3 linked regions of the Ovis aries genome follow. The main gene of each other region encodes a partner of the protein of the gene in region 3 in a complex. Links are inferred from orthologs where the notes say so. Each region holds a gene or a part of one and is shown on either strand. Other genes may lie near its edges.

Evidence for each region.
Region 1: SF3B1 (region 3) and DDX46 share a complex: the UniProt entries of both Homo sapiens proteins name them as parts of the 17S U2 SnRNP complex. The link is inferred for Ovis aries from reciprocal best matches to the Homo sapiens genes SF3B1 and DDX46.
Region 2: SF3B1 (region 3) and MYBBP1A share a complex: the UniProt entries of both Homo sapiens proteins name them as parts of the B-WICH complex. The link is inferred for Ovis aries from reciprocal best matches to the Homo sapiens genes SF3B1 and MYBBP1A.

What each region holds. Positions count from the first base shown.
Region 1 is NC_056058.1:43,895,361-43,905,702, reverse strand, and holds part of DDX46 (probable ATP-dependent RNA helicase DDX46), read right to left. Parts: intron 8,970-10,342; coding exon 8,873-8,969; intron 6,165-8,872; coding exon 5,999-6,164; intron 3,554-5,998; coding exon 3,402-3,553; intron 2,637-3,401; coding exon 2,523-2,636; intron 1,217-2,522; coding exon 1,051-1,216; intron 344-1,050; coding exon 223-343; intron 1-222. UniProt on the Homo sapiens protein: Component of the 17S U2 SnRNP complex of the spliceosome, a large ribonucleoprotein complex that removes introns from transcribed pre-mRNAs.
Region 2 is NC_056064.1:24,906,018-24,916,359, forward strand, and holds the start of MYBBP1A (myb-binding protein 1A), read right to left. Parts: upstream 9,390-10,342; 5' UTR 9,377-9,389; coding exon 9,170-9,376; intron 8,993-9,169; coding exon 8,894-8,992; intron 8,185-8,893; coding exon 8,101-8,184; intron 8,012-8,100; coding exon 7,937-8,011; intron 7,837-7,936; coding exon 7,729-7,836; intron 7,411-7,728; exon of another isoform or gene 7,334-7,410; coding exon of another isoform or gene 7,325-7,333; intron 6,787-7,324; coding exon 6,611-6,786; intron 6,459-6,610; coding exon 6,291-6,458; intron 6,199-6,290; coding exon 6,081-6,198; intron 5,022-6,080; coding exon 4,726-5,021; intron 4,494-4,725; coding exon 4,383-4,493; intron 3,847-4,382; coding exon 3,721-3,846; intron 3,514-3,720; coding exon 3,346-3,513; intron 3,187-3,345; coding exon 3,087-3,186; intron 1,099-3,086; coding exon 1,002-1,098; intron 827-1,001; coding exon 675-826; intron 347-674; coding exon 260-346; intron 182-259; coding exon 26-181; intron 1-25. UniProt on the Homo sapiens protein: May activate or repress transcription via interactions with sequence specific DNA-binding proteins. Repression may be mediated at least in part by histone deacetylase activity (HDAC activity).
Region 3 is NC_056055.1:199,700,467-199,709,934, forward strand, and holds the end of SF3B1 (splicing factor 3B subunit 1), read right to left. Parts: coding exon 9,350-9,468; intron 9,064-9,349; coding exon 8,918-9,063; intron 8,815-8,917; coding exon 8,668-8,814; intron 8,528-8,667; coding exon 8,402-8,527; intron 7,614-8,401; coding exon 7,392-7,613; intron 7,113-7,391; coding exon 6,930-7,112; intron 6,844-6,929; coding exon 6,732-6,843; intron 5,276-6,731; coding exon 5,155-5,275; intron 4,843-5,154; coding exon 4,711-4,842; intron 3,666-4,710; coding exon 3,393-3,665; intron 1,687-3,392; coding exon 1,470-1,686; intron 1,182-1,469; coding exon 1,023-1,181; 3' UTR 698-1,022; downstream 1-697. UniProt on the Homo sapiens protein: Component of the 17S U2 SnRNP complex of the spliceosome, a large ribonucleoprotein complex that removes introns from transcribed pre-mRNAs.

The sequences.
Region 1 (10,342 bases), on a different chromosome or scaffold from region 3:
AAAATTAGATTATGGTAATGACTACACAACTTCATAAATATACTGAAAATCGTAAACTAAAGGGTAAACTTTATGGAATGTAAATCATATCTAGAGAAAGCTGTTTAACAAAAAATCAGTATTTTCCATTAGAATAAAAATGTAAGCTAAGGAATTATTTGTGTAACAGGTTATTTTCAGTAGAAAGATATTGAAAAATGTGGACAACCGCTCAACACTTACTTTTTTAGAGAATTTAAGATCTTCATAGAAATTCCACACTGAACCCAAGATTTAATTGGTTTGGGGCAACCTTTACCCTTGACAGTAATGCCCTCCATTTCCAACCGAAATACATTCACCTCTACAAAACAAAATCCAGATTAAAAACTCTTAAATATTGTTCTGTTAGTGCCCTCTACTTTTCAATGAGGCATGGTTGTATTAAGAATCAATTCTTTTTTAGTGTTCCCAAAGATAATTCCATATAGAAGCTCCATGACAATGCACTGAACAGCTCTGACAAAGTGATTACTGTTGCAACCAATTGGGGTGCAAAGAAACACCCCAATTTCTACAACTTGGCTTTTATTTTGACTTAAATTCTAACAGCAATAAAAGAACAGTGATTCACAAGTAATACAACCACTTGTTCTTTAAGCAAGGGTTGCCCAGATCACGCTTTTTCCGTCAATATCACACAGATTCATATTGGTTTCTAATTCTCAAATAAGAGAAAAACAACAATACTCTACTTGCTAACTTCACATGAAGAGTATTTTCAACCCTAAATAGCTCAACTATGTAAGCCAAACTCATTTTTGCTCATTTTTTAAAAATGTTTCCCAAAACACACTAATTTCTAACTATTCCTAATCTTTGTGGATGTAGCAGTCTCACTCTCTAGAATGATTTCTCATGTTCTAGTTCACTCTCATTTCTCCAAGTAAGTCAGGCACATTTCTCCTACTTACCCATCAACTTACAGGCCTATCAACATGCCTCCCAGGCAAGGTGAAGTATATTTCCCCCATCCCCAAAATAACTGATAAATGAATAAACAAATTTTACCCTCTTGAGACATTTTTGCCAATTCTGGAACTTCAACATAGAAGTTTTTTCTGAATGGTTCATATTCAATTTTTCCATGATCCACTGGTTCTAGAAGCTTTCTCTGCTTTGTCTGGTAACCTGTAAGAGCTGTCTGAAGATCAACTTCTTCCTCCTCTGAAGAATACTGTAACAAAAAGAGAAAAACTAAGAGCTGAATCTATTACTGTCTTCCTATGGGAAGAAATATTCCTAACTTAAAAAATGTTCCACTCCTAGAAAATACTCTTTTCCTCTTCTTTTATTTTCTGAACTTTCCAACTTAGCTTATTTTTTCTTTGCCATCATAGAAAGCTTTAGTAACAATATAAAGCTAAAACAAAAAACTAATTCTAACATAGCTTTAATGAAGTTCTGCTATAGTTTTCTCTATATAAATCATTACAATAAAGTTTTCTCTATATAAATCATTACAGTGAGTGTTAATAGTAAAAAATTTCATTCTGTCACTTCATTTCTTCTCTCCCTATTCTACATCTGGGATGTACTGATGAGGGACAGGGATGAATCAAAATTTGGCCTACACATGTGCAGCAATACAGATGAACCCAGACAACATCATACCATGTGGAGTCAGTCAGAGAAAGATAAATACTATATGATATCACTTGAATGTGCAATCAAAAAAATACTACAAATGAATTTATTTTCAAAACAGAAACGGACTCACAGACATAGAAAACAAACTTCTGGCCACCAAAGGGGAATAGGAAGGAGGGATAAATTAGGAATGCGGGATTAATAGATACAAACTACTATACATAAAATAAGCAACAAGGATTTACTGTACAATGCTGGAGACCTGGGTTCAATCCCTGGGTCAGAAAGATCCCGTGGAGAAGGCAATGGCTATCCACTCTAGTATTCTTGCCTGAGAAATCCATGGACAGAGGAGCCTGGTGGGCTACAGTCCATGGGATAGCAAAGAGTCGGACATACTGAATGACTAATATTTTCACTTTTCACACTTTCAAAGGGAATTACATGCAATATCTTGTAATAACTTATAATGAAAAAGAATCTAAAAATATGTATGTGTGTGTATACCTGAATCACGTTGCTGTACACTTGAAACTAATACTATATTGCAAATCAACTATACTTCAATTTAAAAAAAAGTAGGTATACAAGAAGTTAAAGAGGTTAAAATGTTCTACCAGTTTGGATATCTGGCTACAATACTGTTGAGAAAAGCAAGAATTTCTCCCAAGAGTACACTGCGTAACTGAAAAGCACACCTCCATCAATGCTTCCTTATAAATACTCATAGGATGGTACCACGTGCTGTGTGCTCAGTCGTGTCCGACTCTCTGTGATCCCACAGACCATGGCCCACTAGGCTCCCTTGTTCATGGAATCCTCCAGGCAAGAATACTGGAGCGGGCTGCTGTTTCATTCTATGGTATCGTGAACAAAGTTAAAATTAAAGTTACCTCCATGGCATCCTGGTCATTCTCCATTAGCTCACCTTTCTTCTTATCAGAATCTACGACTGCTTTTTTGGTTGTGACAACTGTGACAACTTTTGTGACCGTTGGCCCAGACTTCTAAAAAAAGAATGTGAAATATTTTGCTAAAGTTGAAACACAAAGTATAAACCAAATGAAACAATGATAACTGTAACAATTTATAATCTGAATTAACTTAGTAGTCAGTGACTACTAATGCAAAAACAAACAGTAGCCCACTTTCTCCTTACTTAAATTTAAAAATGTAATACAACAGCATTATATTTCCTAACACATTAACACACAGGTAATTAGGTATGTAGTATGTAATTTTATATAATATTATGTAATCTATTTTTAAAATACTATTAAATAGTACTTTTCACTCATTCCACAAACCAAATACTATCCCAGGATCTGAAGATGAATCAATAAACAAAACAGGTAAAGATCACTGCTCTTGGGAAGATTTTAGAAGAAAGAAGGAACAAGCAAACACAACATTGAATTACACCATTTGTCAATAAATTCTATTAAGAAAAAGAAAACCTAGACTAAAGAGGATCAGGAGTATAAAATATGGGAGTGTTGGAAAAGGACCTACTGAGAAAGGAACAAGCAAGCAAAAACACTAAACAAAGATGATAATAGTAATGATGACTCTAAAAGGACATTTGCAGTTACAATTTGCTAGTATCTCTGCTCTTTAGAAAAAGCACAGACACTTCTGAGATGCAGAAGGAAACAAAATCATTAACTTTATAAAGCCATGCAAGCCAATAGTAGGTCAATGCAACAATGAATTCAAGTTATTCAACTAGGAATATAAATCTTTAAAAATAAAATAGGAAAAAAATCCCATACCTTTTCATTTCCCCCACCACCTTTCACACTTCTCATATTAAACTTTTTTACTTCCTCTTTCACTTCTTCCATGTAAGCATCTAATGGATCTAACTCCTCACCCTCCATTTCATTTCCTTCCTTTTCAGCCTCTGCAGGATCATCTTCATCATCTAAAATATCAGAACATACTTTGAATATGTGTTTCAAAAGGGATTATTTCACAATCCGACCATGCCCCTATTAAGAAGCCTTTTCTCTTAACTACCCAAATACCTTCCTTATCAATTAACCCAGGCACAATACAGTTCAAATACTCATACTGGCAAGGTTTTAAATCAAACAAGCATTAGTTTTGAATAATACTAATAATAAAAGAAATAAATGATAAACTATTAAACTGAAAAGAGGAAGAAACACTAATACGTCTGAAAAATGGATCTCTGGTATTATTTTACAACCACACTAACAGAAGCAAAACTAAAAACTTTGCTAAAAGGATATGCTTATTTCGCTTCTTTCAATCACTTTTCTTTAATCACAGGAAGAAAAAATTAATAGTATATTGCAGCCCACCAGGCTCCTCCATCCACGGGATTTTCCAGGCAAGAGTACTGGAGTGGGTTGCCGTTGCCTTCTCCGAAAGACAGTCTCATGTTTTTTACATAACTATCACCAGGGAAGCCTGGTGTGTTGCAGTCCATGGGCTCACAGAGTCAGACACAACTTAGTGACTGAACAACAACATCACCACCATTTAAAGACATAATCCATTAATCTATTTAGAACAAAACACCCTGGTGAACTTCCACAGAAAATGAAAAATTCACAGGGATTTTCACAAAAAAAATGGAGCAAAATTCCCTTTTCCTATAAAACCTCATTATTCCACTTAACTAACATCTTACGCATCAAAATCAGTTGTGAAGTTGCATTTAGTTGCACTGAGCAGCTTCAGCTGCATTCAACAAATTCTGATAAATTCTCTTTCATTTTTATTCTGCTACAAATATTTTCTAATTTTCCTTATTATGATTTCTTAGATACAACCATCATTTAAAAGTGGACATTTTCTGTCCAAACACATGGAGTTTTTAAAGTATCCTTGATATTAATTTCTCATTTTGATACTAATTTCTCATTTACTTGCTTTCTTCGTTGCAATCACTCTGTTTCTTCAGTCTCTTAACTTTACTGAGACTTTCAATGATTATGTCAAAATTCTCTCTTGGTAAATGTCACACTGCACTTGAAATATGTGTGTTATTTTCAAATATCTTTTAATATTGATTTCTAATACAATTTCACCATGATAAGAGAACAGACTGTATGATTTTAATACCCATAGACTATTTTTGCACTTTGCTTTATGTCCCTGGATATGTTCCAGTGTCCCCTGGTTCACAGTCTATGGAAACTTGAATAGAATTTGTATCCTGCCTTGGTGTGAAAACTGTATAAATCTTAATTATGTTGAATTGGTTCATAGTGCTTTTGAGGTCTACTATATCCTTCTACTTTCCTGTCTATTCATTCCATTAACTTTTGAGAGTTTGATATTGAAACTCCAACTAAAAACCTTAATTTATCTACTTAAAAAATAATTGTAATATATAGTGGAAATATATGTAACTTTTTTCTGTATTTTCCAAATCTCCTGTAAATGTACTATCATAGTTTCATAATTTAAAAAAGAAAAAAATAATCAAGATGTGCAGGGGAAATGTTGCTCTTCTAAGTTAGGAAAAAAATCAGAGGGACTTGGAAACATGCCCTTAACTTACCCTCACTACTAACATCTGAAGTAAAAAAATTAAAGAGCTATTTACTGACTGCCCATAAGCATCCAACTCTCCACTCTAAAGTAAAATCAGTGATCCTTACTGCACGCTACTCTACAATTAAAACTTTAAATATGAAAAGGGGCATTGAAAAACCTCAAAATAAATCTAGTGACTCTATTTCTAGCTATAAACCCAAAAGAACTGAAAGTTGGGATTCAATCAGATATGCACAAACCAACACTCACAGAAGCATTATTCGAAATAGTCAAAAGATGGAAACAACTTATATATGCAACAACAGCTGAATAGGTAAACAAAATGTGGTATATACATACAACGTAATACTATCAGACTTAAAAGGGAAGGAAATTATGATATAGACTACAACATGGATGAACCTTGAAAACACTTTGCTAAATAAAATAAACCTAGTCACAAGACAAATACTACACGATTCCATTTATTAAGGTACCTAGAATAAGCAAATTCACAGAATCAGAAAGTAGATTAGATGTTATTAGAAATGAAGAGGTACGGGAAGGCAGGATAGAGAATTACTGTTGAATAAGGCAGAGGTTTTGTTTGGAATGATGAATACTGTTGAATAAGGCAGTTTTGTTTGGAATTTTGTTTGGAAAGTTCTAGAAATGGGCAGTTGTGATGGCTGCACAACACTGTGAATTTGCTTAACATCACTGAAATGTACACTTAAAAATGGTTAAAATAGTAAATATTATGTGTATTTTTTCATGATAAAAAATAGTCTATCACTTATAACCCTAGAATATTATACATGAATTGCTGTTTAGGCTACTAGCAAACAAATGAACATACCATCATCATCTTCTAAGCTCCACTTTTTCCCTTGTTTCATCTCTTCGATTTCCTTTTTCAGTTCCCCTATGTTTTCCATGGCCTTTTTACGTTGCTCTTCTCGCCATTTTTCTACTCTTTCTTTTCGCTTTCTCATTTCTTCTTCTAGCTTATTCTGGTCAAAGTTCTTGGGGTGAAAATGAAAAATAGAAGAAAATAAGGATCAACAGTTTTACTCCTACTGACACTCCAAATAACTTTTTCAAAGTATAAAAAAAGAAAAGGAAAAACAGGTATCTACACAAAACTCCTAAATTCTGACCAGATTTAGATTACACATCTTTTTAATATATTAAGGAATAAACTAACAAAATGAAATCACAATCAAAAGTATCTTCAACTAATAAACCAGAAAAGTGAAGTCGCTCAGTCGTGTCCAACTCTGCAACCCCATGGACTGTAGCCTACCAGGCTCCCCCATCCACGGGATTTTCCAGGCAAGAATACTAGAGGGGGTTGCCATTTCCTCCTCCAGGTGATCATCCCAACCCAGGGATCAAACCCAGGTCTCCCGCATTGTAGGCAAACGCTTTACCACCCAAGCCACCAGGGAAGCCAAACACAAACTTCAAATACTATAACTTACTCTCCTTTTAGTTACTACCAATATGCACACATGAACTCAACCTCTCCCTCAAAGTGGAAACTAAAAGAACTGGCAAGCAAAGTTCCCTAATTATTACTCTCAACTGTAAATCCTTTAAACTTCTCCAAGACTGCCTCCATGAGAAGGATTTTTTATCACAATTTTCTATTTCAAACAAGTGAGTAAATGAAAGTTATTTATCAAAATCTTTAAGAAGTTCTGATCTTTTAGCCTTTAGGTCTAAGTTTTCTAGGAACAGCCATTCTAAAGCTTGTATCATGATTATCAACTATACTCTTCAAAGGAAAGACAAATCATTTTCACAGGCATAATCAAGGACTTAAAGATTAAGCATCATAAATATCAAAATTTTATACATGCTGCTGCTGCTGCTAAGTCGCTTCAGTTGTGTCCAACTCTCTGTAACCCCCATAGATGGCAGCCCTGGGATTTTCCAGGCAAGAACACTGGAGTGGGTTGCCATTTCCTTCTCCAATGCATGAAAGTGAAAAGTGAAAGTGAAGTCGCTCAGTCGTGTCCGACTCCTAGTGACCCCATGGACTGTAGCCTACCAGGCTCCTCCATCCATGCTACAATTATATAAATAGGTATAGAAACACACATGTAAAAAAACAGTCAAAGAAAATACTAATAAACTGCAATATTGATGGCGTTTGGGTATCTAGAATTACAGAGAATTACTTCTGACTTTCCAAGTATTTTATAATATGGTTATATTTATATTTTAAAAATAAATTTATTTCTTAAACAAACAAAACCTGTGTCCCTGAATTTACATCCTTCATAATTCCATACTCTCTGAAGATGAGCCCCAGAAAGCTTATGTTTTTTTCTCAAGGTCACCCAGTCATTCCACAGTAGAAACTAAATCAGAAACCAGACCTCCAGACTTCTTGTGTTAATTTCTTAGATAACCTGCTCAGCAAACAGTTCCCTTAAAAAAAGAACCACTAAAAACAAAAATTAGATCTCAAAAAAAAAGGAAATGAAGCTATAATATATTGTAAAATGGGCAAAAGCTATGAATAGGCAATTCAAAGAAAAGTGCAGATAGTAGATAAACTTAAAATGCCTTATTTAATTATTGGTTTACATTATGTTCATAGCACTTAAAAATATTTACTCATGTTAAAGACATACAACTCAAAATAACAAGAAATCAATTACCTCCTATAACATCTGCAAAAATTAAATTTCAAAATACCCATGTTGGCAGGAATGTGAGGAAACAGACATTTTCACGTCTAAAATCTTAATTTTTACAATATTTGTGGAGGGCAATTTGATACTATCGATCAAAATGTTAAATCTTTAGAGCCAGCCCTCTGGACCTGAACCCTCATCCTCCAAATTCAACTAACTGGATCAAAAATACGCAGGAAAAGAGAATTCCAGAAAGTTCTCAAAATCAAAACCTGAATTTGCCCTAGGCTGGCAACCGCTCACACAGGATTTACATTGTATTTACAATGATTCACACAGCATCTACATCATATTAGGTATCATAAGTGATCTAGAGATGACAACCTATGCAGGGAGGATACCCACGGTTATACTAAGTCATTTTATATGAAGGAATTGAACATCTGAAGGTTTTGCTATCCAAAGGGGTCCTGTAACCAATCCCCCTCCGATACTGAGGGAAAGCTATATACCCACTGACAAAGGAATTTATTTTACTGGTATTAATTTACCCTATACTATATTCACAGAACACATGTGTACTAGGATTAATCTACCATTGTTTATAATTGTGGACTACAGACAGCCTAAATACCCATTTACCTTTTCTTCAACAAAACACTATGCAGGCATTAAAAACAACAAACACTACCTATGTAAACAGGTACATAAAGATATCCAAAATTTAACAAAAGGAAAAAAAAAGGTATTCTACTTAAGTTCGAATCTTTGTATACTGCGATTTATTATTAGGACCTTATATACTGATATATATTGATAAAGTAATTCATAATTTTAAAGCAACAAAAAAGCAAGGTACAGAATAGGGCATATAGTACGATCACATTTTATATATAAAAGTAGATAATGTGTATAGATATGTAACTTTCAGAAAAATGTTCTCATGGGGAAAACTATCATTTTATATTTATTTTATAAATTTGCTATCATTTACTTAAAAATAAAACATATAGCAGTAAAACCAAAAACTAGTCACTACAGAAACAAACTCAATACTATACTATTATTTATGTTAGTAAACATACACCAGCATCCTTTTCTTTTTCATCCTCTTTGTCATCTTTGTCTTTTTTCTTCTCTTTAGAACTTTCTCCACTATCCGTTTTCTCTTTGGATCTAGACCTGCCAAAAAAAAGAGAGAGAGGGGGACATCATCTATCTGTTTTTGGAAACATTCATTTTAAAACACTTAGACTTGTGTTTTACTTTTTAAATAAGAAATAAATTTCTAGGCTCAGCTGAATTTTTATATACCGTTAATAAGCAACTTGGAAATACAATGAAGAATTAATCCCAGAACACTAACTGCAAATATTACTCCATATCTGAAAACTGACCAAAGGTAAATTGGACACAGCATATAAAAATAATTACAAAAATTTAAACAAGAAATTTAAAACTTGAACAAATGGAGAATTATACCAAAACATTAAGTCTATAAGATAACTGATATATGTAATAATATTTCAAATCCCAACAAGCTTGCATTTTGACCTTATGGCATCTAAAAATGAGTTAAATTCCTTAATTGGACTATAATCAAATTAGTTGACCTTTCCCCTCCTTTATGATTGGTGCTTTTAAGAGGACTTCCCTGGTGGCTCAGTGGTAAAGAATCCATCTGCGAATGAAGAGGACATGGGTTTGGGGAAGATTCCACATGCCACAGGACAACTACACCTGTGAGCTCTAACTACTGAAGCCACAGCATCTAGAGCCTGTGCTCCACAACAAGAGAAACCACTGCAATGAGAAGCCTGCACGCCACAACAAACAGTAGCCTCCGCTCACTGCAATTAGAGAAAGCCCACGTGCAGCCAAGACTCAGCATAGCCATAAATAATAAATCAATCAATCTTAAAGATGAGGCATCCAGAAATTGTTCCAATTTTGATGAAGATACTCAGAGGTAAAGAAGATATTCTCTAGCATAAACTTCTAAGAAGTTTATAGCTTTGCCATCTTACTTGGTTTTTAATCTGTTTGGAAATGTTTTTTGCGCACAGAATGAGGTGGCCCGTCCTATTTTATCAGAGGATAGCAAATGTTCCTGACACCATTTACTGGAAACACTTTTCCCCACTATTTATGATGCCACCATAGTCATTTATTAAATGATCTTATATGTGTAGATTTGATTCTAGGTTCTTTATAAGGTTTCAGTAATCTATTTGTTTACCCCTACAATAAAGCCACACTCTTGATTTCTACTTTATAGACAAGCCTTGATACCTGGTAGTGAAAGTCCTTATATCTTGTTCTTTGAAAGTGCTTCCTAATTTTATAACCAGTTTGTTAAATACTTTTCTATTCATGTTTGCCAACACTTTTAAACATTAATGTGTGTTGAAGTTAATAAGATGCTTTTCCTGAATCTACTTAAGTAACCATGGCTTTTCTCCTTGAATCTTGGATCACACTGATAAAGAGTTTCTAATGTTAAATCAACTTTCCATTCCTGGTATAAACCCAACTAGTTTATGATCTGTCTTATC
Region 2 (10,342 bases), on a different chromosome or scaffold from region 3:
GGGGCGGGGCCCGGTGCCCACTCACCAGCGCCTTCCTGGCCTGCAGCACCGCCATCAGCTGCTCCCGGAAGCCCTGGTCCACGTCCCCGTCTCGGTCCTCCTCGTCGCTGTCGTCATCGCTCTCCTCCTCACTCTCTGAGCCTTTGCTGCCCTTGCTGTCCTCGCCGTCTGAGCTCTTGTCCTGTGGGTGGGCCGTGTGTCACGCCTCCCCACGGCCCACCAGGTGTCCGCCCGCCCCCTGCCCTTTGCTGACAAGTACCTCCACACCCCCCAGCGGCTGCTCCTCGGAGTCGTCTGTCACCACCACGTTGTCGTCCTCGTCCTGGCTCTCCTCCGGGTTCAGCACCTGTGGGGAGTCCCAGGTGGCCGTCGTGTCTGCTGTCCCTGCTCCCTCACCACCCCCTCAGGCCCCGGGACCTTCTCAACTGCCTTCCTTCCCCCTCCCATCCAGTCTTGGCCAAAGGTCCCCATTTCAGGCAGGAAGATGGAGCCTGGGAGAGAAAGCCATTCCCTCCAGTGTCCTTGAGAGACCTGACCCCGAGTCAGGGGTGCACAGCAGGAGACTCTGAAGGAGGCCTCCATCCCCCAACCATGCAGGTCACAGCAAGGACACAGCAGCCCTGGGCTTGGAGAGCCCCATCCTGGGACCCACGTCCCCAGAGGCCCCCACTTACATTCAGGATGAGCTGCAGGGCACGTAGGGTCAGATGGGAGCAGATGTGGCCGAACACGCTGCGGGCTACCTGGCGCATCAGGTGGCTGGGCTGGGCCAAGAGGGAGAGCAGGATCTCCACCAGCACCTCCACCCATGGCGGCTCCTGGGGGTCTGCAAGCAGGGAAGGGGTGAGCCTGGGCAGGGGGCCAGTGACCCATGCTGTTTGCCCATCACCCCCCACCAGGGACGACGACCCACTGGTGGCCTTGGAGCAGGTCTGAGCACCCCATGCTGGGTCCTACTGTCTGCCTATTACCCGCCCCCCGCCCCAGGGACGACAACCCACTGGTGGCCTTGGAACGGGTCCGGCGGGTCTTCTCCCCCAGGCTCTTCTTGATGCAGGTCTGGATGTCGCCCAGGAGGTCACAGCTTTCTGCGGGGGACTGTGTGGGACAGGACAGAAATCAGAGGCCAGGCCCCATGCTCAGCCTTTGCTCAGCTGGGAGAGGGAGTGACCAAGGGGGCGGACCTGGTATCAAGGCCCAAAAGACTCCAGACTGTCCTGGCCGGTCCCCCTCACAATCTAGAGCAGAGGCCTACAGCCAGACCCCAGGAGCTGATGACCTAACATCCAGACACACAGTTTATGAGCCTCACAGAAGATGAAGCCCAACCTCCCCACCGATGCCCAGGCTGGATCAGGATCACAGGGCACCAGCAGGTCCCAGACTCCTGATCTGCAGTTCTAGATTCCGCCACGACACCTGGCTCGACATCATTACAAAAAGAACTGGAAATGACCGATTTCAACAAATTTAAAATTTAATTTCAACTAACTTAAGTCTATCTTGGGCTTCCTTTGTGGCTCAGCTGTAAAGAATCTGCCTGCAATGTGGGAGACCTGGGTTGGAAAGCCCTGGAGAAGGGAAAGGCTACCCACTCCAGGATTCTGGCCTGGAGAATTCCATGGACTGTATAGTCCATGGGATCACAAAGAGTCGAACACAACTGACCAACTTTCACAGTCCTTTCAAGTCTATTTTGCTGAAGGATAAGACCAGAGTCCAGTGAGTTGAAATTAACCTGTTTGACCGCTGGTACCAAAAAGGCAGACTTCCCCTCCTTAATGTTGCAGGGCAGCTTCAATGTTTGGGGTGGGGGTGGTGGAAGGAAGGCCAGAACAGGAGCTCAAAAGCCTCAGGCATCTTTGCCTCTAGCGTCCTGGCTGTGGCTGGGTAGCTTTCATCCATGTCAAGCTCAGAGGTCCAGGGTCTGGGCAGCCCCTATTGGATGTCCAGGGCCAAGGACTGGAAGGGGCATGGTGACCAACTGTTCCCCACACTGCTTGTCCATGAGCTGGGCTGAGTGCCCAAGGCCTGGAAGCAAAAACCTCAGCCGAGAGGCCAGAAGGGAGTCCTGTCTCCTGAGGCTACTGAAGACCTGGAGCAACCCACAAGAGCCTTGCACAACTTGAGGGGAAAACCTCCAGAGACCTGAGTTCACAGTCAGAGGAAACCACAAGGGTCAAAAGCGCTGTCGGCAGTACGCTCCGCACACGGCCAAAATTTCTTTGTGGAAAGAACAGAAAAGGAGACGGAGTGGGTTTTAGAGAACCGGTTATGAGAAGAGGTACCCATGACATGAGAAATATAGTTGACAGGATACAGGACGCCATGGGAGGGCGGTGCCAGAAAAACACCCACTACCCTCAACTCACCACTCTAGATTCCAAACGTGCAAGAGCTAAACAGAAGAATCGCGGCTCCACTCCGAACGGACCACAGCCAGACAGAAGAAGTGTCCCCATGGTCGACGGGTCTGCCCAGAGCCAGGCCCCGCCCTCCTCGACATCCACCACCCCTGGCCAGTAAGGTAGTTTGGGGAGGTCCTATGAGATAGCGAGTCAGAGCCCCATGTTTGAATCCCAGCCAAAAGCTGTGTGGCCTGGGGTAAGTTACTTGACCTCTGTGAGTCTATTATCCCACCTGTCAGAAATGTGCCTGCCTCCAATCTGTGGGTAATACCAACAACGGACACTGCTCAGAAAGCTCAGAATAGAGCATGTTAGCTGCTCAGTTGTGTCTGACTTTGCAACCCCATGGACTGTAGCCTGCCAAACTCCTCTGTCCATGGAATTCTCCAGGCAAGAATACTGGAGTGGGTTGGCATTTCCTTCTCCAGGGGATCTTCCCGACCCAGGGATTGAACCCGGGTCTTTCACACTGAAGGCAGATTCTTTACTGTCTGAGCCACCAGGGAAGCTCAAGGTAGAGCTGGTGTCCAGTAAGTGGATGGAGTGGTTTTTCCCTTGGGCTGTACTTCCAACCAGGAGCAGTCAGCCTAGGAAACCTGTCACGTTCAGCTCCACAGAGCTGTTCCTGGCCCCCGCAGACCCTAGGTCTGTAGCCCCCTCCACTTCAGGCCGCCGTACCTTGAAGAGGTGGATGCCCACCAAGAGTAGCAGGTGCTGGAAGGCAGTGGCCTTGGCCTCAGAAGAGAGAGTGTCCAGTTCCTTCAGCGTCTTCAGCATCCTGGGCGAGATGAGCATGCTCTCAGGCCACCACAGCCAGTGTCAGACCCCAGGGGATCCCACCCATGCAGCCAGCGTCAGACCCCAGGGGATCCCACCCATGTGTCCAGTGTCAGACCCCGGGAGGTTCTACCCACGGGCGGCAACCACACCCTCTCACCGGTCCCAGGCTTGGCGCTGCTGCGTGGTGAAGGCTGTCAGTGGAGCCACATTGCGGCTGTGATTCAGCAGTATGTCTGCGAACTGCACCAAGTGGTAGGTCCAGGGCCGCCCGTCTGCCGTCTGCTCCGGCGCCAGCCTGAACTGCGTGCTGAGGGTCTGAAGCAGACTGGTGGTGGTGGGGTAGGCGGGGGCGGTCAGGGTCACGGGCTGGGCTGGTAGACACGGCTACCCTACTCCATCCCCAGGCTTTGAGCCCCTGGAACTCACCGGGCCTCAGATGAAGAGCTGGAGAGAGTAGCGCCCACCCTGCCCGAGGCCACCTCCCCGCCTACTCGCCCACCCTCAGGCCTCTCCTGGGCTTCCCGGTGCCCACCTGAAGAAGGCACTGCACACCACCTCCCGGGTCCGGCCATCCAAGGCGAGGGTGAAGTGCTGCTCGGACTCAGGGATCTGCGACGTGGGCTTCTTTGTCTCGAAGAACGAGTGGAAGAAGCAAAACCTGGGGAGGGTGGGAGGGTACTCGTGTTCCCTCGGTCAGTGCCACCCTCCTCACCAGCCACTCTCGGGTGGCCTCACCGAGGGCCTGGTGCCAGGAGGCGATGACGCCAGAGGGGACGTTTCCCAGGCCTGGACCCCCAGCAGAACAGAGCCCAGCCTGAACCGGGAGAGGACCAGCATCCCTCCCTTGGAACCAAAGACGCGAAGCTGCGTGGCCTCGGCCAGGTCACCGCCGCTCCTGCCCCACTCAGGGCCGCCATGAGGGTGAGTAGCAGTGGCAGCGTCGTCATTAAGGACCCCCGACACCGTTGACACACAAAGGCAGTGGGGGGAATGCTGAGCCAGCCTGAACCTTGGAGCTCCCCCCCCCCGCCATACCCAGACTCCCTGGGGAATTTCCCCCAATCTCGTCCTGCCCAAGGGGCAAGGATGACTTGACCCTCAGGCTTTTGGCTCCAGGAAGGACCCAAAGCAGGTCAGACATGAGGTCACTGCATCCGTGGGAAGTCAGGGTTCAGGCACATCTCGGGACCATACCTGGCCACTTCCTCGATCAGCGCCTCCTCCTTCTCCACGTGCAGGTTGTCCATGATGCTGACCAGGCGAAGGATAATCCACTTCCGCAGCCGGAACACAGCTCGCTCGGGCCTGTGGGCAGGAGACAAGTCCCGGAAACTGCTTAGAGGTGGTGAAATGGGTGTCTCCCATCCTTGAGACGGGAAAATCAACCAAGGCTCCCCAACGCCCTGATCCCCAGCACAGGGCCACGTGTGAGGAAACTGAGGCCTTTAAGAGCAAAGGTCTGGCTCCTCTCTGGCCCAAGGAACCAAGGTATTTGGGACGGAGGGTCCAGGCCTTTGGGCCCCACAGGCCCACTCACCCATGGAACGAAGCATCTTGGGTTTTCTTCTGGTTGTAGGTGCTGAAGTCCACCAAGGAGTCCAGGTCAGGCTGGAGGAACATGTCCCGCAGCCAGGCCACGTAGCCCTTGAGGGCGGTGGGACTCAGGAACTGCACGACCCGCCAGAAGGTGGGCACCACAGGGAGGCCCTGGTTGGTGATGGACGTGAAGGCCACTACCAGGGCCAGCTGCCGCTCGGGGTCGTCCTTGCAGCCTTCCAGGAAGGCCCCCACGTACTCGTTCATCTCCGGGGCAAACTTGAAGTGCTTCGGGAGCTGCGAGAGTCGGGCATAGCGCTGGGGTCATCAGCCAGGAGGGGTCCAACACACCCCCAGCCTCTTCCACAACAGGTTCCCTGGGGCCTAGGAAGTCCCCTCCCTTGTACCCAGCTGGGTCGCTCAGGCGCCCCCACATTTAGTCTTTGGGACAACTTTCGTCCTGGCACCTCTAATTGTTTTGCAGATGAAGGAAAATGAAGCATAAGAAAGCCTGGAAGCAACTTCCGAGGATCACAGGACTAAAAGTGGTGGAGCTGGGACTCGGCCCCTGTCCGTCTGGTCCCCCAGCCCGTGGAGCTCTTAACCCCTGCGCTGAACTCTGAGCCTGTCCTTCACTTGGAAGAGGGGAATGGCAGCTCTCCAAAGCTGGCGGTAAAGATGGAATGAGCTAGAAGCAAACCCAGCAGCACTTCCTGCACACCAGGCACTACTTTAAGCACCTGTGGATATTAGCCTGATTATCCTCACAACGACTCTAAGGAAGGTCCTGCTCCTTGGCTCAGAGGCAGGGGCAGGGGCAGGCACAGAGAAGGGAAGCGACCTGTGGGAGGTCACACAGCTAGCGGCAGTAGAGTCAGGACAGGAACCCAGCAGTCTGGTCCCAGGTTCCCTGCTCTTAACCACTACTCGAGTCCCCTGTCGAGCACTTAGCTTAGTGTGCGGCATGTGGACAGTACTCAAAATAGCATCGGTGGGTAGCATTCCTGTAACACCAGCTGGGGGTGGAGGGGGGTCTGGACAGATTGCTGGCTGTACAAGCCCGGGCTGAGCGGCCTGGGGGCAGAAGGGCTGACCCTGCCACTCTCGGTTCGTAGGGGAAGATGCAGGGCTGGGGGTCGGCTCTCAGGCAGCTCCCTCTACCCAGAGGTGGGGGACACCCAGGTCCCCAGCCCCTCCTCCCAGGGGCAGCTGTGTTTGCCCATCCCAGGCAGGACCACTGACACCAAGAACCACCCTCTCTTCCAGAAGCTGGCTGATCCCTTTCCTCCTCTGGGCAGGAAGCAGCCCAGTCACCTGGCCCCTTCCAGCAGGGTTGGGCCGCGGGGCGGCGCTCACCTTAGCGGTGACCATGTGCTCCCCGTAATGTCGGATCAGGTCCCCTTGCATCACCAGCTGCAGCTGCTCCTTGGACAGCAGGGGCAGGGCTGCGCCCAGCAGGCGGAAGCACAGGTAGCTGAGGGGGCGCACGACAGGGCCTGGTCAGAGCCCTCGGCCCCCTGAGCCACCCCTGCTCACCAAATAGGGAGAGGTCAAGCGCCCACACACCTGGCCGGCCAGAACTGCTTCTTCAGGAGCCCCTGCTCCACAACCTCCTTCCAGAACCATGGGAACTTGTCCTCCTGGAGCGCCAGGCGGAGCAGGTCCAGAGCCACGGTGGGCAGCTTGCGTTCCTTCTTCACAGAGTTGGCCACCGTCTTCAGCACAGTCACCAGCCTGCAGAGGTCGGGGGTGGGTGGGGGTGAAGAAGACTCAGGGGGCAGTCCCCAGCAAACAAGGGCCAGGCGCCTGGGGCCACATGGACCCCCAACCCCGGGTCATGGTGCAAACCTGTGGATGGAGGGCCCACCTGCCCACCTCCCTCACACCTGGGGATGTTCTCGTCCAAGAACAGGTTGACCGGTCCCATCAGCTTCTCCAGCTTCTTGGGCACCTTCTGCTGGGCCAAGAGGAAGAGCTCCAGGTGCTCAGGGGAGCCGAGAACTGAATTCATGTCAGGCTTGAGGACCTTGGGCAGGATCTCCTGCAGCGCGGTCTCCGGGACCTGGCGGTGGGGGAGACAGGTTGAGGGTGCGGAGGGCGCCCTCACAGCATCCTTTGTCTCTCCTGCTGTGAGCTGAGCTTTCTGGGCCCCATTCTACCTCCCAGGCTCCCCCAAGGCCCCGGCACACCAACAGCCTGAGACGGGACAGTCACAATCCACCTTGTCAGGCAACAGAATCACCAGAGAGGGTTTCTTAAAAAGCGCAAATTCCCAAATCCTTGGAAACTGGGTTTAAATAAATAAGCACCCCACTGATGCTAACTAGCCCAGGACCACCCTTTTAATTATTCCTCTTGTGGGTTTTGCAGGACTAGCATTTTTTTTATAAGGAGTCCCCAGTGAAGATCTGGGACTTGAATTCAGGTCCTTCCAGCTCTGTGGCCAGGGTTATGCAGAAAGCCTTGGCCTGGGATGTGCCAGTCCCTGGCTTTTTCACCATAGCAAGGATTCTAGGTACTAGCCCACCTCCACTTCCCAAGTAGGGCAGTGGGGACCCCAGCTCTGCCCAAAACAACAATGGCAAACATGTTTAACCCACCGGGCACATGTCAGGCGCTGTTCTACAAATGCATGGTCCAATATGGAAGCCACTGGTCACATGTGGACACTGAGCATGTAAAATGTGCTAATCTGAACAGAGATATGCTGGTGAGTATAAAATACACTGGATTTTGGAGACTTACCACGATAAAGAATGTAAAAAACCTCCATAGATTTTCTGATACTGACTGCACATGAAAATACTTTAGATATTAAACTAAACCATGTTATTAAAGCACATCCCTTTTCCTTCTTACTTTTTAAGGGAAGTTACTACAAAACATCATGTTCCACATTTATGCTTCGGTACCGCATTTTCATGCATTAACCTGTGTCTTCTCCGTGCTCTTCTATGACGGGTGGCGTTAGTTACCCAAGGCTCCACAGCTGGTGAGCCCATACCTGAGAAAGGATGTCCACCAGGGCCTTCTGGGGCTGTTCCTGAAGGTGATTGTAATGCTGGCCCAGGGCCTGCAGCAGCTTCACTGACTTCATCAGTGCTTCTGAGTCCTGGTGGTCCCAGAGGCAGAGAGGGTATGAGTGGGGCGTGCCACTCTCCCCCACCACTCCAAGCCAGTCCACATACCCCCAGAACCCTCAAAGCTCTTACCTTCACTAGCCTGCCTGACTGAAAGAGGGCTAGCACCCCAAACAGGTTTCCAAAGAGGGCAGGTCTCATCATCCCCTAGAAAAGGATTCCAGGCACCCGTGAGAAGGACCCAAGCATTTCCCACCCTGGGGACTGCTGATATCCCTGGGGCTGCTAACTCTCACCTTCTTAACCTTCTGCAGGTCATGTCTCTCCTGTATTTGCTGCAGGATGCTGCCCAAAGGGATGTCTTCGAAAGACTGTAACAGCTGCCAGGAGGAAGAGAGGGGCTCAGGGGGAGTGGCCCTGCCACATCCCAACAGACGTTAATCTCTTCCTACTTCTTCAACTTCTGCCCTTGGGAGCAGGCCTTGGGCCCCTGCTCCCGCCCCAAGGATGCCTCTGAAGCTGCCTACCTGCCTCTGAGCAGTGCTGATGATGGAACATAGCTGTGAATGGAGCTGACCCCTCTCTCCCTGTCCCACGTGTAGCTGGGGTGCTTTGGCCACTAGACTGTGTTTCCCAAACATGCTGTCCCCACAGCCAGCTCTGAGCTCTCCCTAGACTGGTCTTCAAGGACTGGGTCTCTAGAGGCCTTCCATTTGTCCAGGCTCCTTAGATATGGCTTATAATTAGCTGTGTGCCCCTTGGGAGAAGAGGGTCCTAAACCCTGCAGAGGTAACAGAACTCACCCCAGAGCTTACCACCCCCAGTACATGTACCTCGGAGGCTGGTCAACCCAGGTACCCAAAAGCAGCCTCAACCTCCCTCTCTCCGCCTTCCTGGGCTTCTCTGCACAAAGGCCTTGCTTACACAATTTTCTCCGCATCCACGTGGGCACACCTCCCATCGGCTCGCCTGAGATGCTACCCCTACTTGTCAGTTCTCACGTCCCTTGCAGCTGGGACATCTGCTCTGCTCACTCACTCCCCTACCTGACCAGCACAGGTGGACCCCTTCCAGGGGCCACCACCTCACCTGTGCCAGGGCCAAACTGTAGCAGGGCCGGGCTGCTTCTCGTCCACCCCCGAGCCCAGTGATTAGGCGCTTCAGGGCGTACTTCATCTCGGAAGATCCCTAAGGAACCAAGCACATCCCCAGGTGGACCAGTGAGAAGGGTCGTTTGGCACCCGCCCATGCCCGCTCCTCGGCGCGCGCTCACTTGGGTCGTCCAGGTTCGCGACCACGTGACCCCAAGCTCGCCGCTACTAGCCAGGATCTCTGGTGCTCCTGCCCCAGACCCCGCCACCATACCTTCGGCTTTGCGCGCAGATATTCCAGCAGCTTCTCTGTAGCCTCAAGCCGCGTCTCCTGCTGCGGCTTCGCAATGTCCCAGAAGAAGTCCAAAAACTCGCGGCTGTGCTTGAGCAGGCCATGACGGTCGGCAGGCCGGGCGCCGCTCTTCTGGGCCTCTCCCGGAGCCAGAGGCTCGGTGACTTCCACACTCGCCGGCTCCGCCATGCTCGTCGAACACGTGGGCTCGGAAGACAGCCTCTTCCAGGTCAGGTCGGGGCGCATGCGCAATGAATTGGGTCGGCTGGGGGCGGAGCCGGCTGGCACGGGGGCGGGGCGGACGGGGAGGTGTGGCTCTTCCTCTGGGCGCTCAGGAGTCCGGAGTTCATTCCGATTGTGATAGGAAATCACCGGAGGGTTTTATGCAGGCACAAGCCTTGGTCCTATTTAACTGCCCCGACGCCCCCCGCCTTGTCGGATTTTATTTTCCAGACCAGGGATGGGTCACGGATGGAACCTCGGCCCTCCGCAGGGAGAGAGCCGTGTCCTAACCACGGTACCTCTAGTGAAGTGAAGTGTTAGCGACCCCATGGACTGTAGCCCGCCAGGCTCCTCTGTCCACGGGATTATCCAGGCAAGAATACTGGAGTGGGTTGCCATTTCCTTCTCCAGGGGATCTTCCCGACCTGGGGACTGAACATCGCGGGCAGATGCTTTACCGACTGAACAGTCAGGGAAGCCCCAGGGAATCCCCCCATTTACACATTTAATAGAGTATTCTGCTGCTGTGTGGAGGGTGAATTGAAGGAGAGCAGAGGTAGAAGCAGGAATACCAGCTGGATTGAACCAAGTGCTGAGAAAATTCCAGCTAATCTGGAACAGGTGGGAGGTGACAGAAGCGAGAGGGATGCTAGGCTTGCTGCTGCTGCTGCTAAGTCACTTCAGTCGTGTCCGACTCTGTGCGACCCCATAGACGGCAGCCCACCAGGCTCCCTCGTCCCTGGGATTCTCCAGGCAAGAACAGTGGAGTGGGTTGCCATTTCCTTCTCCAATGAGTGAAAGTGAAAAGTGAAAGTGAAGTCGCTCAGTGGTGTCCGACCCTTAGCCACCCCATGCACTGCAGCCTACCAGGCTCCTCCATCCATGGGATTTTCCAGGCAAGAGTACTGGAGTGGGTTGCCATTGCCTTCTCCG
Region 3 (9,468 bases):
AAACCTAGACATTTCAGCTGCTGCCATTGTGTAGTATTAGTACATAAGTAATCTGTAACTAGATGTTTCCCCTTTTCCACTATACTGTATTTCCTAAGGGCAAGAGGCAGGTCAGAAGTACCTCTGCATCCCTACAACTAACCACAATGGCTGACATACAGTAGGTGCTTAACAGGTATATACTGTTGAGTAGTGGCTTACGACATGACATGGGCAAAGAACTCAAAAGATTGTCTTATTCTAACTAGCATGACTTAGAGGTAGCCTCACTCCCTACAAGTAGAAGTTTAAGCTACTTTTCCCACATTCTAAACAGAATTGTCACGAGTTGGATATGACTTCAATTACTTCCCTTAAGCAAATTCATAAGCATTTTGAGAAATCAAGAGATGAAAGGCGCTATGCAAGTGCAAAATAATATTAAAGACAGTTCAGCAAAGGTGCTATATTTTCTAAGGTGATGGAAGGGTTGTGCTAGTTTGAGGTTAACACCCTCAAAGCTACTCTTCCTAATGTCTTTATCAACAGAGCAATGGAATTTTGACAAAGATACCATCACTTTATATAGCTTGTATTCTACTAACTACTCTCTATAAACCAGGTGACAGAAAACGATATTAAGCCACTTATTCTACAGAAACCAGTACTTTATCAAAGTTCCGCATTTTACAAGTCATGTTCAAAAAACACACACAAGTTAGCATTTTGTACACAAACGTTTATTTCTCAATTAAACATTCCCTTTAAACACAAGGAATGAATTCTAAATCTTCATAAACATGAATTAAAAATGAAAGCCCTCCAGTATAGTGTGTGTAATCACTGTGTTCTTGGTCACTACTGGCGTTTACTGCTTAACATCAAAAACAAAGGTTATTTAAAAATCATGCTACTGGATTTCTAGCTCTTCCTCTAAGACCAGGTCTACGCTGATCTGCAATGTTTAAAAGTTTACATCACCAAATCAAAGCAAGTTTAAGGTGTGAAACAGCTGTGCATTAAACACAAAATAAACAATAAAGTTACAAGATATAGTCAAGTTCATAACGAATATAGGTGTTCTTATCATCATTGTAGATTCTTGGGTAATGTGCTATGAGAGCATCCTGTGAACCGATGTAGATGGAGTTGTAAATTTTCCAATACACATCTCTGACTTTCCGGGCTGGGTGAAACAAACCCTAGAATAATTAAAAGGTTATATTATTTCAAGAAATACATAACCTTAACACAACTAACAAACAAACCATAAAGATATGGTTCTAAACATCTCCCTTTGAGAGAGGAAAAAAAAAGATGTCAATTTCATAAAACTGAAGTGGGCAAGGACAAAATCTAATCTTCTCTCCCCTCATAACTGTTTTCCCATATGGCACAAATATATCTTCCCTAATGATAATTAGGAACAGTGACTTAATTCAACTACATTATTTTTTCAATGAATACTGTTTAAAAAACCTTTAACCTACCTGTAAACAATACTGTAGCATTCTACATGGTCCAATAGCAACTCTCAGACCCTCCAGGGCCCCCATAACTGCCTGAATTACATGGGGAGATGTCTCGAACACATTGGGCCATACATAGTTCAACAAGTGATTCAGCGAATCTTCGCAACCAAATCCATAAACCCCAAGTGACATGTGTTGCACCACTGCACTAGCAGTCTGTCTGTGTACAAGGTCCCTGTAATGGAGAGGGGAAAAAGCTTTTTATTAAGATGCAGTCTTAGTTTCACAGAAAATACTTGCATGCCTGTTAGAAACTAAATCACAAATTCAGTGCTTGGAATGGATGCAGAGTCATCCTTACACCTCGTGTATCTGACATAGGATACCTTAAGAATGACTGATGATTATACTTGAGAACTTTTGCTTTGATGATTCAAACCTGCTCACAATGGCTCAAAAATAAGCTATATTTTTCTTTCAGAGTAACAGGAGCAAGAAGGCCCAGCACAATGTGTATTTTTGCAAGCTACTAAAAATAAGAGAGGATACATGACTCTTAACATACGAACAATTAACAGTAATATCTCATTTTAAACTCTGTAAATTTAAAATCTTCGGAAGTAATTCAATACTGTATACAGTAAATAAATAAAATGAGATTAAATCCCTTCCCTTGTGGTTTTTTAAAAAGATTCATTCAAGAGTTCAATTTGGGGAAAGGAAGAGAAGGACTAATAATTTTTTGAAACCCAGAAAAAAGAACTTTTATCACCTCCCATGTTTTGACTGACTTTATGACAAATCATTGACTTATTTATTCCATAATTTATTCAACTGAGTACAAGTATCAGATAAAACGTCTATGATAGGTATAAAAACAAGTTCACACGTTTTACCCTCGAAGGCAAGAAGAGAACCTGAAAGGTATTTAAGAGAAAAAAATACTTTTTTCTCTTAAACCTTAAGAGGAAAAAAAAAGCACCTGAACCGACTTAGTTACTAGCATCTTTATTTCTCTTATTTATTATAATAATCTATTAGGCATAGATTATAATGAATCTGTATTCCTCCTTGGTAAATTTCCCAACTAAAGTAATGTTTCTTGGTATTAGGACTGTATCAATCACCTCCAGCAATACTTTATCAGGGGTCACCATCTGAATAATTGGGGGCCTGCAGTGACAATAGTGTGGCTCTGGCAGGCTATGTTCAGTAGTTAAAAGTGTCTCTGCTTCACCTGCCATAACAAAAAGCTAAAAAGATCAGGTCTCTCTGTTACATCAATAAGCTCATGCTCATCATTTTCTTTGTAATTTTTAAAACAAAAGTTGATTGGAAATTCCCTGATGGTCCAGTTGTTAGGACTCAGCGCTTCCACTATTGGTGCCAGGGTTCAATCCCTGGTCAGCTAAGTAAGCTCTCACAAGCCTCATAACATGGCCAAAAGAAAAAGGGGGGGGGGGGAGGCGGTTAAAATGAAGAGGGGGCACACTTGGGAGAAAAAATTGGGGGAACCATTATAGCATGTATCTTTTTTTCCCTTTGGCTGTGCAGGATCTTTGCTGCTGCACAAGGGCTTTCTCTAGCGGCAGAGAGCAGGGGCTACTCTTAATTGTGGTGACTTCTCTTGTTGCAGGGCACAGGCTCAGTAGTTGCACTGCACGGGCTTAGTTGCCTCATGGCACTGGAATCTTCCCAGACCAGGAAGATTCCCCTGTTTTGGCAGGTGGCTTCTTAACCAGAGGACCACCAGGAAAAGTACTATATCATATACCTTATTTGGAGATAACAGTCACATTAATAGTTTCATAAAATCCAGGCTAGTAGTCCTTTCTTTAACTACATCACAACAAGCAGGTCATCTAATGATTACTTCAATAAGTTCTCTAAAATAAAAGAATTATTTTAACTATTTTCTTGTGCTTAGTTCAAGTCACTTACCTATCCATTAAAGCATCCTCAAGTAGTGGTGTTACAGCATAAATGTAGTCCTTTCCCATTTCACCAATATATTCAAACAAGAAGGAAAGTGACTTTAACACTCCATTTTGGACATTCAGTTCAGGAACTCTGTATTCATTCATTAAGGCAGGTAGTACTGTGAAGGGTGAACATGTTTCAGCGACAATAGCTATGGCCACAGTTGTACAAACTCTGTTCTGCCTTTCCTGAACTTTTAGGTTGTTGAGAAGTGTAGCCAATACATCATGAGGGCTGGAAAAAAATAAATGTGTCAGCAAACTGTTAGTATACAAGTCAAAATTTTTTTCAGAGGGAAGAAAAATGATCAAAGGATGGAACTCAGTAATTTTATGCTATGGCATTATTGTTTCTACTTAACAAATTCATTTTAATTAAAATGTTCACTCTTATGAAAATATTCAAATAGACTCATTTTCAAATATAATTCAGTTTTTAATAAATTTCATTGAATGAAATATCATTTCATTACATGTTTAGTCTGAGAATTCTTTGAGTGGTCAGAACATGGTCTCCCATGCCGTAACATACAAAATCTGTTTCCCTTTTATCTTCCCGCCCACAGACCTTTACCACATTTATTCTCCTTCTTTAAGGATTTATCTTACCACAAATTTAAAGGGATACAGGAACTAAAAGATTATATTAGCACAGGTATTCACTGCAAATTGCTTGACTTTCATCACAAATGAAAACATACTACAGCTACCAAAAAAGGGGTGGAGGAGACTCTAATTATATAATCAACTTTTGTTATGTTTGAGAATATCTTGTTATTATGCCACATGTACATGAAATATCTCATTTTCTACAATGACTGTTCTAGTTTGGTTCTGGTGGAGTGAAAGCAAATAACCACAGATTATCTAACAAAATAGTTATAATTTTTAGTTGTCAGTGGATTAATTCTAGAAAAATATTTTCAAAACACATGAAGTATTAAGTTGAGAATTGAACTATGTTAACTATTTTAGCGATATCCAAAAAGAACTGGCCTTAATATTTTAAATAACCAAAAAGAATCAACAAAACCTGAAATCCTTCTGAAATGTTTCCCTTTCTGCAAACACTGAAATGTTATTAAATGAAATTTTATACCCTTCTATTTTAATTCAATTTAAGAGGAAAGAAAACATTTCAAATATTGAAGGTCATTAAAGTCTATTTTAACTGCATTACTCATACCTTACCTTAAAAGAGCTTACAGAAACAGAAGCATCTTTTAACGCTAAATCAGTCTACTACAAAGTTAAAAAAAAAAGACGTAAATAATACTCACCCAATGGCCTTTGCAATATAACCAAATGTGTTGACTGTGGCTCTACGAATAGCTTTTTTGTGTGCTTTTAAGAGCTCTAAAAGCTCAAAGCAAATCCTCATCCATTCTCTTGCAGACACATATTCAGCTCCCCTGGTTTAAAAATAAAAGTTTAATTTGTTCATGACAATAAATTTTAAAAGGTTAATTCAAAAATTCAGTTCTCAAGACATGATTACCAACTCATTTTAAGCATTATATAAATTGTTACTGTTCAGAAGAGATGGATTATTTTTAGATAAAAGCAAAATTTAAAAATATACTGCTACTCCCTCATTACCATTCAAACTGAAATTTCACTGAAAATATTAGCCTGACCATATATACTTACATTAGCAAATTTGCCAAGTGAATAAAAATGTAAAAATCAATACTACTTTAAAAATATTTAGGTAATCTGCTTACCTATCAGCAATACGCCCAACAAGATCAATACAATTCTCCTGTACTTTTTCATGCCTATTCTTTAAGATGGGGGTGAGTCTAGGCAGCAGATCTTTAATTGGTGGGGTCATCTTATGCATACCTATTTAACGAAAGTCAACACACTATCAATTAACATGTAAACTGCAAGCTTTGCTCATTTTATCTTTCACTTAACAATGTAATATATGTGACTAGGCATAAATACAAACTTACAGCTGCCTATAGAAAGAAAAAGCCCCAGATTCTGACCAAACGCAGAATTTTTAACTTTTCATTAACAACTTCTCATTATGTATGTATAAAAATGAAAGAAATTAGTGAAGTGATTTAAAGAATGATGGATACTCAACAACAAAAAATTCCATTTAGTTCTGAAATGTATTTGTACACTGACATTTAAATATGGGGACAGCTTATGTTCCGGCCATACACAACAATATAAGCCAGAGGGAGACATGTAAATTAAAGCAAAATTTTCCAGAAAGGGCCCCCTTACCCTTTAACTGCAAAACAAACAGATCTCCAGTCTCCCTGCAATGCAGGGCATACTTGGATGGTATTTACACCTACGAAGAGAGAAAAAAGGAGGCAGCTGGCAGGGGCTCTTGTTCTAACTAGAATTGCTTGCTCTGATTCTCTCTCCATTGCTTTTCCCATGTTTCTCTGACCAACAATATGGTTTATAATTCCTTGCAAACCAGAGCCCCACAAGTGGCCAAATAACTGATTTTTAGCTCCAAATATAGAGGACAGGGCTGAACTGTGATTTGTATGTAAATGCAATGGTTTAAAGACATCCTATATTGCATAAAAACCCTTTACTAAAACAAGAAAAATAGTGGCTTATTTCAACCTCCTGATAGGTTATTTCTGCCCCTCCAAACTCTGCACAAGTCTGCAATAGTTCTATTCAATTACAATGAAGAATAAAACACAAGACCATATTTATTGCTCCATCAAAAGGCCTTTAAAGAATAAAAGCTTTATTCTCCACACCCAAAAGAATTTGAAATATACTTGTTTTAATTTTGGGTAAAAAGCTGAAAGGGTAGTTTAAAAGTATTGGATTTAAATAATGAGAGATTATTTGATTGATTCACTTTTCTCCCAGGTTATCATTCCTTGAACTTCATGGCAAGCAGGAAAACCTGCCATAACCATTTTACTCAAGTTGAGTAAATATATCATATTTAGTCTTAAAATTTCAGAGTTCTCTCCACCCACCATTGCCCTCCTATATATTCCAGGTGAAACACTGTATTTTTAGGGCCCTCTTAACCCATGACTTCAAAGTTTTTGAGTTGTGACTATTCACTCCTCTCTTGCAGGTCCTAAAACTTGCCCTCTTTTCTCTTTTAAAGTAAAATATAAATAGGTTTTGGGAGGTAAGATTCATGTGACATCCCAACTTAACTATATTTTTAGTAGTTAAAAAATTATATCAGATATCATCACTCAACTCCTAAATAGGATTCTGTATTTTACTTTCAAAAAATCCAAAGAACTTTTAAAAAGCAAAAAACAAAAAATTCTTCCATAACCAATGAATTCCATACCTATTACATTTACAATGGCCTTCAGTGCTCCAAGAATGCTGCCCAAAACTTCAGGGTACTCTTCACCCAAATACTCATACAAAACAACACCCAAATGCCCCATCAATTTTTCCTGTTTAAAAAGAAAAAAATGATTAAATGTTACTGTTTATCCTATTTCTTTCGGTGAATAAGTAAGAATCTGATATAGAAGTTTACCTCTTGACAAGTCTTCATGACAACAGCTGTTCGAGAGATCAAGTCAGCTGCCTGCTGCCTAACTTTTGCTGATTTGTTATTTAAACGCCACAAAACTGTACCACAGATCTGAGGCAAGTAAGGTTTGACTCGTTTGCCAAGAGCATTGACCACTGTACCAAAGCCGTTCAACATTACTGAGTCCTTATTAAAAAAAAAAAAAAAAAAAGGCCAAGTTAAATTTAAAAACTATATTCAATGTGAACAAGAATTCAGTTTGTGACAAAACAGTTAAAATATACTAATATTCAGCTTCCAAAAACTTATTCTAAAAATGTGATGTAAAAGAACATTTCTTTGTAGTTAACTGCACAAATATGAGCATTTAAAATTTTTAATTACTCTTTAGTGATATTTCCTTGAAACTACTTTTTACAAATATGAGAGCCAATGACAACTTGCCATAATAATTAGTATCATTACCTCTGTAGTCTGTTCTTGGAAAGCATAAAGAATACCATCAATCAGTTGTTCTTCAAGTTTATGATCAATATCTGCTGCTCCCAAGTTGCCCATGATTTTCTCAATTGTCTCCATAACCATTTTTCTGTACTGTTCAGCTTCATCTTTTAGATCATCCACAATTCTGGATATAATTTCTGCTGCACCTACTTTGTTTGCCAACTCCACAGTAGTATCAACTAACTAAAAAAAAAGGAGGGAAAAATCAATTTACTGCTTTTCCAAGGAAATACAGAGAAATTATGAAAATGGAATATTCTAAAGATACTATTTAGCTAGTCAGTGTGTTGAGAACAGCTGGCTCCTACTATTAAAACTTTAAGATGGGACTTCCCTGGTGGTACAGTGGATAAGAATCTGCCTGCCAATGCAGAGGACATGTCTTTGATCCCTGGCCAGGGAAAATACCACATGCCCAGACCAACTAAGCCTATGCACATAATTATTGAGCCCACACTTTAGAGTCCATATGCTGCAACTACTGAAACCCAAGAACCCATGAGCCAGAAATCCACAACAAGAGAAGCCACCACAATGAGAAACCCATGCACCAGCAACAAAAAGCAGCCCCCGCTCGCTACAACTAGAGAAAGTCCTACGAGCAGAAACGAAGATCTAGCACAACCAAAAAAAATTTTTTTTTAATAATAAAACCTTAAGAAAAAGATGGCCAAAAAAATTAAGTGTGAGTCTATGTCAAGGGGATTAAAGATTATATTCATGCTTCATTTAAGCCAGATTAAGTAGTTCATTTACTAGATAAAAACGTCAATTCATAGTTGGCTATTTATTCTAGAATGCAAACTCAAAATGAAAATTGACTTGCTGACTAAAATCCATCCTTTCACAAGCAAGCAAACAATCTATGAGATCCTCAAGGCAAAATATGACTTATATAATATGCAATCAAACTAATGGATTAACTGAAAGAATTTCTAAAAATATATATATTTTTAAAAATAAACACTTACCTGTCGGTAATTTCTTCTATCCAAAGCCATTCTATGTTGCCAAAAGTGTTTAAAAAAGGGAGGAAGGATCTCTGTTTTAATGTAGTTTGCTTCTACACCATCTGTTCCACAACACTGCTTTACCACCTAAAATGTTCAAAAAGATAATAATAGCAGCAAACACAGTCTTGGTCTAAAATGTATTTTTTAATGATATAGAATTCTCTTTCAACAATGAAACACATCCAATTTAGATTAATAAATATGGAACAATTTGGAACAAGTACCTTTAGCACAATTTTCTTCATTTCTTCATCAGGAGACTGGAATTCTCGAATAAGAATTAACATCACTTCTCTAGTATAGTAGTTGGCATATTCTGCATCCATGAGAGGAATAAGATACCCAATAGCCTTTAAGAAAGCGGCAAGACCCTATTATAAAATAAAAAATATATATATACTTAGTAAATTAGATTTAGGTCACTTGAACTTCAATGAGTAGAAATAAAAAACACAACCAAACTGGTGAATTTACCTTTCCTCTGTGTTGGCGGATACCCTTCCATAGAGGCTTTAATACAGAATCGAAAGATTCGATACCATAAGGGGTTGCTGCTTCAGCCAGGGCAGCAATGGCCAAAGCACTAATGGTCCGAACTTTTTGCTGCTCATCCACAAGACCTATAGAAAGCCAAACATAGGTTTCAACTAAGCAACATTGCCTAGTTTTAACTCAGATAGTACTACTGAGATCCCAGCAATACATCTAACTGTTTAGTCAAACTGCAGAATCTGTTCACAATGGACAAAGTTAGGCAAAAGTCAGTATGAACTATAGCCTATTAGCAGCTAATATTACAAATCATAAACTATATGGTGTTTATGTAGGTCACCTTCCACTTCTCCAAAAATCAGTAGCCTAAATTTCAGGAAACCTGTCTTAAAACAAAGTTATCCTACAACTTACCATGTTCAATGATTTCAACTAAACTTCTGAGATGTGGCAAGATGGCACAGCCCATGAGAATAGCTATCTGCTGTACAATCTTTATACCAGTGTGTCTCGCTTGCCAGGACTTCTTGCTT